3 linked regions of the Cricetulus griseus genome follow. The protein of the gene in region 1 interacts with the protein of each later gene in a biochemical or structural test. Links are inferred from orthologs where the notes say so. Each region holds a gene or a part of one and is shown in the gene's direction. Other genes may lie near its edges. The genes, in order: Cd244, Sh2d1a and Inpp5d.

Evidence for each region.
Region 2: the proteins of Cd244 (region 1) and Sh2d1a interact in a biophysical measurement, tested with the Homo sapiens proteins (2 studies listed by IntAct). The link is inferred for Cricetulus griseus from reciprocal best matches to the Homo sapiens genes CD244 and SH2D1A.
Region 3: the proteins of Cd244 (region 1) and Inpp5d interact in a biophysical measurement, tested with the Homo sapiens proteins (2 studies listed by IntAct). The link is inferred for Cricetulus griseus from reciprocal best matches to the Homo sapiens genes CD244 and INPP5D.

What each region holds. Positions count from the first base shown.
Region 1 is NC_048598.1:21,241,911-21,246,061, reverse strand, and holds the start of Cd244 (natural killer cell receptor 2B4), read left to right. Parts: upstream 1-1,221; coding exon 1,222-1,309; intron 1,310-4,151. UniProt on the Homo sapiens protein: Heterophilic receptor of the signaling lymphocytic activation molecule (SLAM) family; its ligand is CD48.
Region 2 is NC_048604.1:25,515,626-25,519,838, reverse strand, and holds the start of Sh2d1a (SH2 domain-containing protein 1A), read left to right. Parts: upstream 1-1,406; coding exon 1,407-1,543; intron 1,544-4,213.
Region 3 is NC_048595.1:439,363,389-439,366,000, forward strand, and holds part of Inpp5d (phosphatidylinositol 3,4,5-trisphosphate 5-phosphatase 1), read left to right. Parts: intron 1-671; coding exon 672-1,266; intron 1,267-2,612. UniProt on the Homo sapiens protein: Phosphatidylinositol (PtdIns) phosphatase that specifically hydrolyzes the 5-phosphate of phosphatidylinositol-3,4,5-trisphosphate (PtdIns(3,4,5)P3) to produce PtdIns(3,4)P2, thereby negatively regulating the PI3K (phosphoinositide 3-kinase) pathways.

The sequences.
Region 1 (4,151 bases):
TTAACAAAACCTGTCTCCTTGTTCACCTGCATAGAATAACCCCATCTCTTTGTTTATCTGTATGTAATAACCCAACATCATTGGTCCACTGTATGCAAAAACTCTACCTCCCTATTCAGCCCCATAAAATAAACACACCACACGTCATGGGTGCTGAGGCTTTTCCAGCAGAGGGCACAGTGCACATAGTCCCAGCTTTTCCTTATCGCTCCTAGCCAGGGTCCTGGGACCTAAGCCCTGCAAAGATGTGGCAGGCAAAGTCTTCTTTTTTTTCTGAGGAGTGAAAAGTCCAAGAGATGATCATGCGCACGTCACACACACACACACACACACACACACACACACACACACACACACACACACACACACCACACACACGGAGAAGCAGAAGAACTTTTGTAACCCTTTTGAGAAATAGCGACTAAAAGACACCAGCTGCTTGTTAAAATCTTCGTCATGATGCTGAGGTTTCGGTATGGTTTGCATGTGTTCCCCATATATTCATATTTCTGGAGCCAGTGTGCTGAGAGGTGATGGGGCCAATAGAAGGAAGGGCCTAGTGGGAGGTGCTTTGGTTATGTGGGGGAGCTCCACACAGAACAGATTAAAGTACATCTCTTTGACCGGGTATAGTGGCTTACGCCTGTAATCCCAGCACTTGGGAAGCTGACACAGAGGATCACTGTGGGTTTGACATCAGCTGGGCTACATAAAGAATTCCAGAATATATAGAATAAAACCTTGTCTCAAAAAAAAAAAAACAATACAAAATGAAAACAGCAACGGAAAAACAGTCCTTCTCATGGGACCTCTGAACTGTTACCAGAATGTACCTGACTTTTGAGTAGTTCTCCGGCTTTCTTTTCAGTGGTGTGACTGCTTATTCCTGTGAGCCTCCTGCCACTGTGCTATCCTGACAGAACACAGACAGTATGGATAGTTCTAGAAATAAAGACAATTAGTTTTCTCTTAGTGTTGTGACACAGTAATTATGTGTTTAATTCTTTAGAAACTGGCTGAAGTCACCCCTAAAACCAGGAGGGTCCCCTTTGAAAGACTCATCCTTAATTGCTTGAATAACTTTTTCTTTTGAGATGTACAGAAAAGGATTAACATTGCTCAAAGAAAGGCCTGGCCTTTCCCCTGGGCTTTTAGGAGGTGATTTCTAAGCCTTGGAATATGGCTGACTAAGAGTGTCTTCATTTAGCACAACCTTGGACCATGACAGTCTGTGCCAACAAAGTGATTTACTGTGGAGGACTTGGTCCACTTAGCATCAGATCAACCTCGGAAGCGGTCAGAGAGCAAGGTCAGCTGTGTGCGTGATGAGCCTGGATGTATATGACCAAGTACAGAGTCTAGACACAGCTCACAAGCTTTCCTGGTGGCAATACTCCATATATATTGTCACACCCAATTTTTAGAGTTAAGTCATTTTTTGTAAAAAAAAATAATTTCTGTCATTTATTTTATATTGTTTAATGACTTTAAAAATCAGTAACTTTAATTATGGTATTAAATCATACTGTTACTGAAAAGGCATTTGGTTGAAGTTAACATCGTTTTGGGGACAATTTTGTACATATGTGCAAGGTACTGTAACCATGTTTTGAGAGGTAAGCTCTGTTTGCTTACGTCACTTTGGAGCTTCCCCCAGACCTTGCTCTATGTTGCTTTCCCTTGTTTCATTTTGGTCTGTATTTTTATTTGCAACACGAACCAGCTGAAAGTAGCTTTTAATGGATTCTTTGAGTTTTTCTACCGAATTAACAAACTTCAAGGTGGTCTTGGGGCTCCGAAGTTTGCAAAGTGTCTTGGGAGGTGGGATTTCCGAGGCCGACCCCACTCACTCACTGCGAAATAGTGAAAGCTTAATGTGGGGGAGGAAGGTGACAGTGGGGCTGGAGGAACCTGTGACCTCGTGTTGGCGGCTGGTTTTCAAAACCCTGATTTGAGCCTCTGTCCCAGACTTCCAGAGACCTGGGGAAGCCTCTGAGTTTATGTGAATTTTGCAGGGCCTTGAATCTTTGTAATAAAGTGGCTAAACTACACAGAAGCTCAAGATGTGGCAGGGTAAAGTATAACTAACCATCATGAGGGGAGAGACTAAGGTGGAACAGCTTACCGTTGTATCTCACTGGGGATGGAAAAGCCGTCTCCTCCATCTTCTCCTTTTCCTCCTCCTCCTTCTTTGATTTTTTTTTTTATTTAAATTAGAAACAAGCTTCTTTTACATGTCAGTCTCAGTTCCCTCTCCCTCCCCTCCTCTCCCGCCCCCTCCCACTCACCCCCTTTCTGCTCCCCAGGGAGGGGGAGGCCTTCTGTGGGGGAATCTTTTAAAGTTTGTCATATCATGGGAAAGCCTTCTTTAGGGAGTTCATTCATCCCTTCAGGACTGAATCATCTTTACCCACCTGGAAAGATGCAGGCTCTAGGAATACTTAGCTAAGGTTGCATTTTTCTTGAAGCTCTCAGGGCAGGACAGGACAGTGTGTATAAAAAAATAGCAACGCTATGTGGTAGAACTTGTTAGGAACGTAAGAAAGACGAATACGGCACTTCTTCCAGTTCAGTCTCCAGGGGCTGGTAGGTCGTCTATGGCTTTGGAGAAGAGGATGGGGCTGTACTGGGGCCAGGATTGGTGAAGCCGATTTTCCTGTCTTGAGACAATGTCTTGCTGATATAGCCCTGCCTGCCTGTTACTCAGTGAGTCCCAAGGAGGCCTCTGATTCAAGACAATGTCCTGCCTCCTCTTCCAGGGTAAAGCAGCTTTTAAATTCACTGTTGTTCATTGCTTCCAAAAGTCAGACCTTGCCTTCCATCTGTTATGTGAGGAAATTCACTCTGTTGCATTACTTTGTTTTTGACTTTGAGACAGGGTTTCACTGTGTAACCCTGGCTGTTCAGGACCTCACTCTGTAGACCTCGACTCACAGAGATCTGCCTGCTTCTGCCTCCTGGGTGCTGGGAATAAAGGCCTGAGCCACCACTACATCTTGAACACTACTACTCAAAGTCAGGGATGCTGGCAGATAACCGTGAGGGAGCTCCAGGGGTCGAGGGCTGTCTTAAGAGGATCAGGGATAATTATTATATCCAGGAAAAAGCAAAGCAGGCTGATGGTGAAGAAGCAAACCCTCACTGAAGTGCTTGGGTATTGAAACACCACACACTGGGTAGTTCATACATTTGTCTCTTTAGGTTTGAAAGCTGGACACTCAAAGATCAGGATGCCCTCATAGTCAGGTTCTGGGAAGGCTTTTGTGGGGGCATGCAGACTCTTAACATTTTGTCCTCTCGTGGTAGAAAGAATGGGAAATAAGCAGGATTCTTGGAGCCTGTGGGGTCCCCTGACCCACTTTTTAAATAAGAACATTAATTCCATTCATGAGCGCTCTTGATCACTTCCCCTAACATTCCACTTTCTAATACCAACATACTGATTAGGTCTCAATATTTGAATTAGAATGGTGGGACACAAACATTCACATTTATTTAAAATAATAACAACCAAAGTAATGGGTTTATTATGGCATTTAAAAAGATTTATTTATTTTATGTGTATGAGAGCTCTATATGAGAGCTCTATCTGCATGTATGCCTTGATTCCAGAAAAGGTCATCAGATCCAGACTAAAAATGGTCATGAGCCATCTCATGTTTGCTTGGAATTGAACTCAGTTCTGGAAGAGCAGCCAGTGCTCTTAACTGCTGAGCCATCTCTCCAGCTCCCTTATTACACATTTTTATACATGTGTGTACCAGAGTTTTACATACACACTCTCAGGGATAACTTTTAATTTGATTCTGAAAACTATCCTAAAGGACACTCAAGTATTCAAGCATTGCTGATCTTTAAGAAAACCCACACATTTATTTATGGGTGTGCTCACCTACATTTTGGGTACTTGTGGAGGCCAATTCTCTTTCATCACGTGGATCCTCGGGATCACATTCAGGTCATCAGGCTTGAGGACAAGTACCTTAACCTACTGAGCCATTTCTCCCACCCAAGCACTGTTGATCTCAGGACTCAGAAAGTAATTTGCTCAGCGTCACACGGGTAGTAAGTTGATGAGTTGGAGTTCAAGTCCAGATGTTTGACTCCAAATTGGTTGTCCTGTTCAGAGCATCTGTGCTGCTTCCAAGGAT
Region 2 (4,213 bases), on another chromosome or scaffold:
AAATGTTCACTAAAACAACACAATAGAAATTACAATATCAACACTTGCACAATAATATAAAATGAGTTTTATGTTCAAGGGCTGGAGAGATGGCTCAGCCGTTAAAGGCTAGACTCACAACCACAAATATGAGTTTTAAGTCCCAAATGATTTGGGCCTAGCCCCATTCACCAAAGGGCAAATCGAATTTCACATACAAAACCAATGTATATGCCAAACTGGCTAGAAAAAGACTACAAGGCTGTAGCCCTATACAAAGAACTACAGGCAACTGAGTTGGGGGTAGGAAGTGGTCTCCCCCAGGAAAGAGTGCACCGATTGGTTGTCCAGTGCCAAATGGCTGTTAGCCCTGAAAACATAGATATAAATAGCATTATAGAGATTCAACAGGTTGTAATTAGGAATTACGTATGTATATGCATATGTATTACATATGTATATATGTATATGCATGCAGTAAGAGCAGGGAGGGATATTTGGAAGGGTTTCAAGGGTGAAAAGTGAAGGAAGAAATGTCGTAATTATAATCTCAGGAATTAAAGAAAACTAAGAAGCACCAATAAAAGGATGTGCTCTTCTTAAACTCTTCAGCTAGATCAATCTGGAATAGTTTTTTTTAGCACAATTATGGTTTTTTTTTTGTGTGACTGAGCTGATACTTTTGGATCTTGAACACAATATTAAGTTAAAAATTAATATTTGCTTGAGCCTATGCTTATTCAAGGATTAGGCATATAGCTTAGTGGTAGAAGGGTTCATCTGTGAGGCCCTGGATTCATTCCATTATTAGCATTGAAGAAAAGGAAGCTAGTTCAGGAAGATCTAGTCCCAAATACACACAGTTCACAAATACTTGGAGGTGCTGTGGAAGCCTCATGAGCGTGTTCTGTCATGATTTTGTTGTCCCAGTGTCTTTATGCGTTTCTTTTGTCAGTCTGTTTCTGCCCCTTATGATGCCACCTCTATCACTGATTCTTTTGTACACTGGTTAAGGCAAGTCATCGCTGATGGCTCTGCAGGTTGCAGGGACTACACAAGAACAAAAGCATCACCAAATTTCTCATCTTTGTGCAAGGTCTGCCGGAGATGAGTACTCTTCATCTCTCAAATACTACAAGTGTTCACCTTTCCAGTGTTCCCCCTCACCAACAAGGAGGAGCAGGTGATCAAACCCCACGACGAGTTTGAAGCTGCTAAACTGCTGAGCTGGCCTTAATTGAAGTGTGAGAAGAGGTTTTAAGGCAGGTAGACAACATCCTGTTGTTGGGGCGCTCATCTTTTTTTCATCCTGGCTGCCCTGGGAGTCAGGTGGCTGATTGTGACTGGTAACCACCGCAGCAGCAAAGGCAGCAGCAGCATTTCCCTTTCACCGTCTTCCTCTGGGCCTGTACAAGAGTCCACCAGGCATGGATGCAGTGACTGTGTACCATGGCAAAATCAGCAGGGAGACTGGGGAGAAGCTCTTGCTCGCCACGGGGCTGGATGGAAGCTATCTGCTAAGAGACAGTGAGAGTGTTCCTGGCGTGTACTGCTTGTGTGTTTTGTGAGTACCTTGTGGTAGTGGCAGTCTGGTAGCACGCCTGCCTTTACCCGCTGGGGAGGCCTGGAAGCAGGGGGCACAGGGTTACAGCTTTTAGTTAAGGTAGTCAGGGACACAGACAGCATCAGGGACTCTTGAGTATTCTTCATCTCTCATGCCTGGTGCCAAGGCTTCCCCAGACCCAGCTCAAGGCTGTTTTGGGTAGTACTTGGGTATAGGATGCTTACTGGGGATTTCATCTACTGTGTCTCACCAGTGTGTTTGTGGCAGCCTCTCCTGTACTAGAGTGAGGATTTTCTGGAGCTGCTGAGATGCCTTCCTTTATAAGAGAGGCCAAGGAGTTTAAAAACGTGGAATGTAACAATTCCTCTTTGCTCTTTGTCTGGACTGTTTCCAGCCTCTTGTTCCATTTTGAACTAGATGGAGCTGCATCTCGGCTCTCTACCTCCCCGGCCAAGCAGATCTGAGATCGAATCCTACTATAGTCAGCCTCTAAGCTTGTTGTCTCAGCAAATCAATCTCTTAGTCCTTGAGTTTTCTTATTTATTAAAGGGACTGTAAAGATGAAGTAAATCCACGCTTTTAAAAACAAGTACACTCTGGGCTTGGCACTGAGCAAATGTTCTGTAAGCTATTGGCTTTAGTTTATTATTATTGTCTTTTTGGACAACAATTTATTTCAGTACTCATGGAGGCATTTCTGCAAAAGGACCTAGCTCAAGCATTACTGAAAGCAGGGTAAAAAAAAACTCACAAAATCTTCACTCTAGCACAGTAGAGTCTACATAAAAACGAAACAAAGGAAAATGCTTTGTAATGTGTTCTGGACATGATGATACACTACAAAATTTTGAAGTACTTTCTGGGACAGAAAATAAAGATTAAATTATGGATGATGTGAGAGGATTGCCATTGTATATTGGTTTTTTTTTTTTAAATGGCCAAGTCTTATTTGTGGCAGTTTTCAGATCAGGTTAAATACATTTATCATAAAGGCTTAAAGTTAAATATGTGGAAAAGTAATTTTTCAGTGTTGGGGACAGAACCCAGGATTTTATGTCTACTGGAAATTGCTTTTGCACTGAGCTAGACATCAGCCTTGGGCTTGGACCTTTACGTTCTCAAGTGGAACCTTAGGAAGGACAAGAAAAGCCAATGAAGATCCTTGGTTTGATTTTTTTCTTGTCAGAAGATGGAGGATGGTGAATGAAATGAGCTGCTTTGACTTAGCAGCGGGTCAAGTAGCATGCTCCTTAAACTAAAGGCAAAAATGAAGGTTCAAATGAAGCCTGAATAGGGGGGAGAGAGCTGGAGACAGTATACCCAAGACTTCTACTTTATAGACCACCTTTGTTCCTGAAGGTCACCATGCCTGCTCCACTCAGGATTTTACACCTTCTGTTCAATCTTCACCCCTTGATTATTCTAACATTTGTCCGTGTTGCTATCCCACTATTTTTATTCAAGGACCTTTAAACTTTCTGCTAGCTTGTTTACTTATGTATGTGTTCTACCACAAAAATACCTTCATGAAGGAACAAATATTGTCCCCAGTACCAGAAACATTCCCTGGTATATAATGGGCACTCAGCAAACGATTTGTAAGTAACTGAATGAACTGTTAAGGCATATTGTACTCTACTACAAAGAGCCTTGGGCTGACAAGAGGCCAGGGTTTGGGCTCTAGGGAGTCACTCAGATTCTCTGGGCATTTCATCTTCCATATATGTAAAACAGAAATCTGTTTCTTTTCTGTTAAAAAGATTGCTGTAAGTAAAAACCTGAAGGGAGGAATTCTTAGGTTTTTAGGCAGGTAGGTCAGGACCATGTAAGGAATTTCTCATCATTTTAGTTTTCACTGAAGGTGAATGCTGCGTAAATGCAAGGTTTTGTTGTTGTTGTTGACTAATTTTCCCATGAAAATAGAGAAGTAGAGAATTCTCCTCCTGTCATATGGTTTTTCCCGAGTTATGACCAGGCTACTGTGGAGGGAAGAGTCAAGATTCTTTGCCTTTGATTAGTTCTTTAGTTATTTTGGAGCTGGGTGTCCCTTTTGATACACATACATATTTCATTCTCTCTTACTGGCACTCCGTGGTACTCGCAAAATGTTATTTTGGAACAAACTATGCACACTTAATTCAAAATACTGGGTTGTATGATACAGAGTAGGAATAAATAGAATCATATGTGTTTGAACAAACATGCAATACTTGCAGTTAACTCAGTGCCACTTTGTTCTATCTTTTGTTTATTCCCATTAACCAAGAAAGCTTGCTTCAACTTCAGTTTACTCGATTTTAACTGTATGTTTCCAATTGTACTTTCCAACTATATATTCCTCTTTCCCAGATGAAATCCCAGCCGTGGTCCTCAGACAGGGCCTTTTCTCCTGTTAGGTTCTTAAAAAACAGAATGCTTCAAACATTGTAAAAGGTTTCCACTTATATAATTGCTACTCTTCATCAACAATACAAAGCTTTTCTTCCAATTATTTTCTCTAAATGTAATTAGAATTAAAATAATTTGTCCAAATAGTCCTTTACACTTATTTGTGATATTAAAATATGAAAACATAGATAACGGAATCAAAGGAAAAAAATCACTTATAGGCAACTACTATTAACTTTTAAGTAAAATTTCTTCTATTTTTTAATAAGATGAATACTTTTG
Region 3 (2,612 bases), on another chromosome or scaffold:
TTTTCCCCCAACCCTCCAAGTCCAACGCCGATGCCAGGCCTGCCTGGGATTCCTCTGGAGAGGCAATGATACTCCTGTGCCTTACCTGAACTCCCTGAAAGGGGGGAGCAGCGGGGAGGCATGTCCCTGAACCTAGCCAGGTCTAAAGGTAGCCTCAGTAACCCTCCCTGGGATTAGGACCAAGGACTCCATCCAGTAGGTACTGAGGTGTTTGCTCATTTGACAAAACCAATCTCTTCAGTAACCCCAGGAAGCAAAGCTAGAAACAGCAACAAAGAAAATGGAAGTTCGTGGTGTCATCCTGAGAGGTTCCCAGGGTAGACGTCACCGCATGCTTCACACTGCGAACAGAGCTTGGTGGGACTAGACCTTTAGCCTGTCGTAGTCTTTTATCCCAAGGCTCAGCAGATAGAGGGGCAGATATACATCAGCCAGAGGTACATTGTGAGACCCTGTGTTGAAAAAATGTGTATATCAGGTTAAATTCGTGTAAAATTATCCCCTGGAAAATGAACAATTTGGTATATTACATGTTATACCAACGCCACTATAGTTACAGAACATTATCATCCCTAAGTGAAAGCCCAGAGGCATGAAGCATCTACTCCCCAGGTCCTGACTTCTGAATGTGTTTTCTCCCCACTCTCCTCTCCTCCTCTCCATGGTTCCAGACCCAGTGACCTGGGCAAAGTAGAAGCTCTGTTACAGGAAGACCTGCAGCTGACCAAGCCGGAGATGTTTGAGAACCCCCTGTATGGATCTGTGAGTTCCTTCCCTAAGCTGGTGCCCAGGAAAGAGCAGGAGTCTCCCAAGATGCTGCGGAAGGAACCCCCGCCCTGTCCAGACCCAGGAATCTCACCACCCAGCATACTGCTCCCCAAAGCCCAAGAGGTGGAGGGTGTCAAGGGGACAAGTAAACAGGTCCCCGTGCCTGTCTTTGGCCCCACACCCCGGATGCGCTCTTTTACCTGTTCCTCCTCTGCTGAGGGAAGAATGCCCAGTGGGGACAAAAACCAAGGCAAGTCCAAAGCCTCAGCTGGTTCCCAAGCACCGGTGCCAGTCAAGAGGCCTATCAAGCCTTCCAGGTCCGAAATGAGCCAACAGACGACGCCCATCCCAGCTCCACGGCCGCCTCTGCCAGTCAAGAGCCCTGCAGTCCTGCAACTGCAGCATTCCAAAGGCCGAGACTACCGAGACAACTCGGAGCTCCCCCACCACGGCAAGCACCGCCACGAGGAGGGGCTACTTGGCAGGACTGCCATGCAGGTGCGCTGATTCATATGTTCCTGCGTGCATGCCTGTGTGTCTGTGGTGTGAGTGAGTGTCCTGGGAAGTACTCTGAGGAAGGGCTGAACTTGGGGTTTGAACCTGGCACCTCTGTGCCCCTGATTGGTCCTACACGGCATCTGCAAATGATTCTTGAGAGGGACAGGGGGAGGAGCTGTGGATAAACACCTAGCTCTGTAAAATACCGGGATTTCGGTCATTTATAATTTAGTTTTATCCTTTTTTTTAAAGGTTTTATTTATTTATTTATTATGTATACAACATTCTGCTTCCATGTATATCTGCACACCAGAAGAGGGCACCAGATCTCATTATTACAGTGGTTGTGAGCCACCATGTGGTTGCTGGGAACTGAACTCAGGACCTCTGGAAGAACAGCCAGTGCTCTCAACCTCTGAACCATCTCTCCAGCCCAAGTTTTATCCTTTTTTAAAAGATTATTTATTATGTATACAGTGTTCTGCCTGCATGTACCCCTGGAGGCCAGAAGAGGGCACCAGATCTCACTACAGATGGTTGTGAGTCACCAAAAGGTAGCTGGGAACTGAACTCAGGACCTCTGGAAAACCAGTCAGTGCTCTTAACTGCTGAGCCATCTCTCCAGCCCAGTTTTATCATCCTTAATATATAGTTTAAAACATTCCTGGTATTTTTAGAAACTTCAGGCAGAATATCCCCTTCCAATCGAGTCTGTTTATTCTACAGCAAAGCTAACAACAATTTAAAGAAAAATCACAGTTGAAGCTGAAGACAGTAGTAGACCCCTATAATCCTAGCACTCTGAAAGTCTAATGCAGGAGGACCGGGTGTTCAAGGTCAGCCTGGGCTGTATAGCAAGACACTGGCTTAAGAAGAATCAGCGGCAGCATTCTGGATGTTAAGGTTGTAGCTCAGTAGTGGAATATACCCGAAGCCTCCATGAAGCCTTCGGCTGAGTCCACAGTACCACAAGAGAAGTGAACTCTAGAGCCAGACTGCTGTCTGTTCTGTTATTGTATTGTTGTTATTATTTTGGTTTTGGTTTCTTGTTTTTTGAGACAGGGTTTCTCTGTGTAGTCCTGGCTGTCGTGGAACTTGCTCAGTAGACCAGGCTGGCCTTGAACTCAAAAATCCACCTGCCTCTGCCTCCCGAGTACTGGGATTAAAGGCTTCTGCCAACACACCTGACCTATTATTGTATTTTATTGCAGTATTGAGGGTCAAACTCAGGGTCTTACACAATAGACAAATGCTGTGTTGCAGTTCTGTGTCAGATTTAAATCCCAAGTCTCCACTGCCCAGTTCTTTGCCTTCTTAATCTGTAAAAAGATGATATTAATGGATTT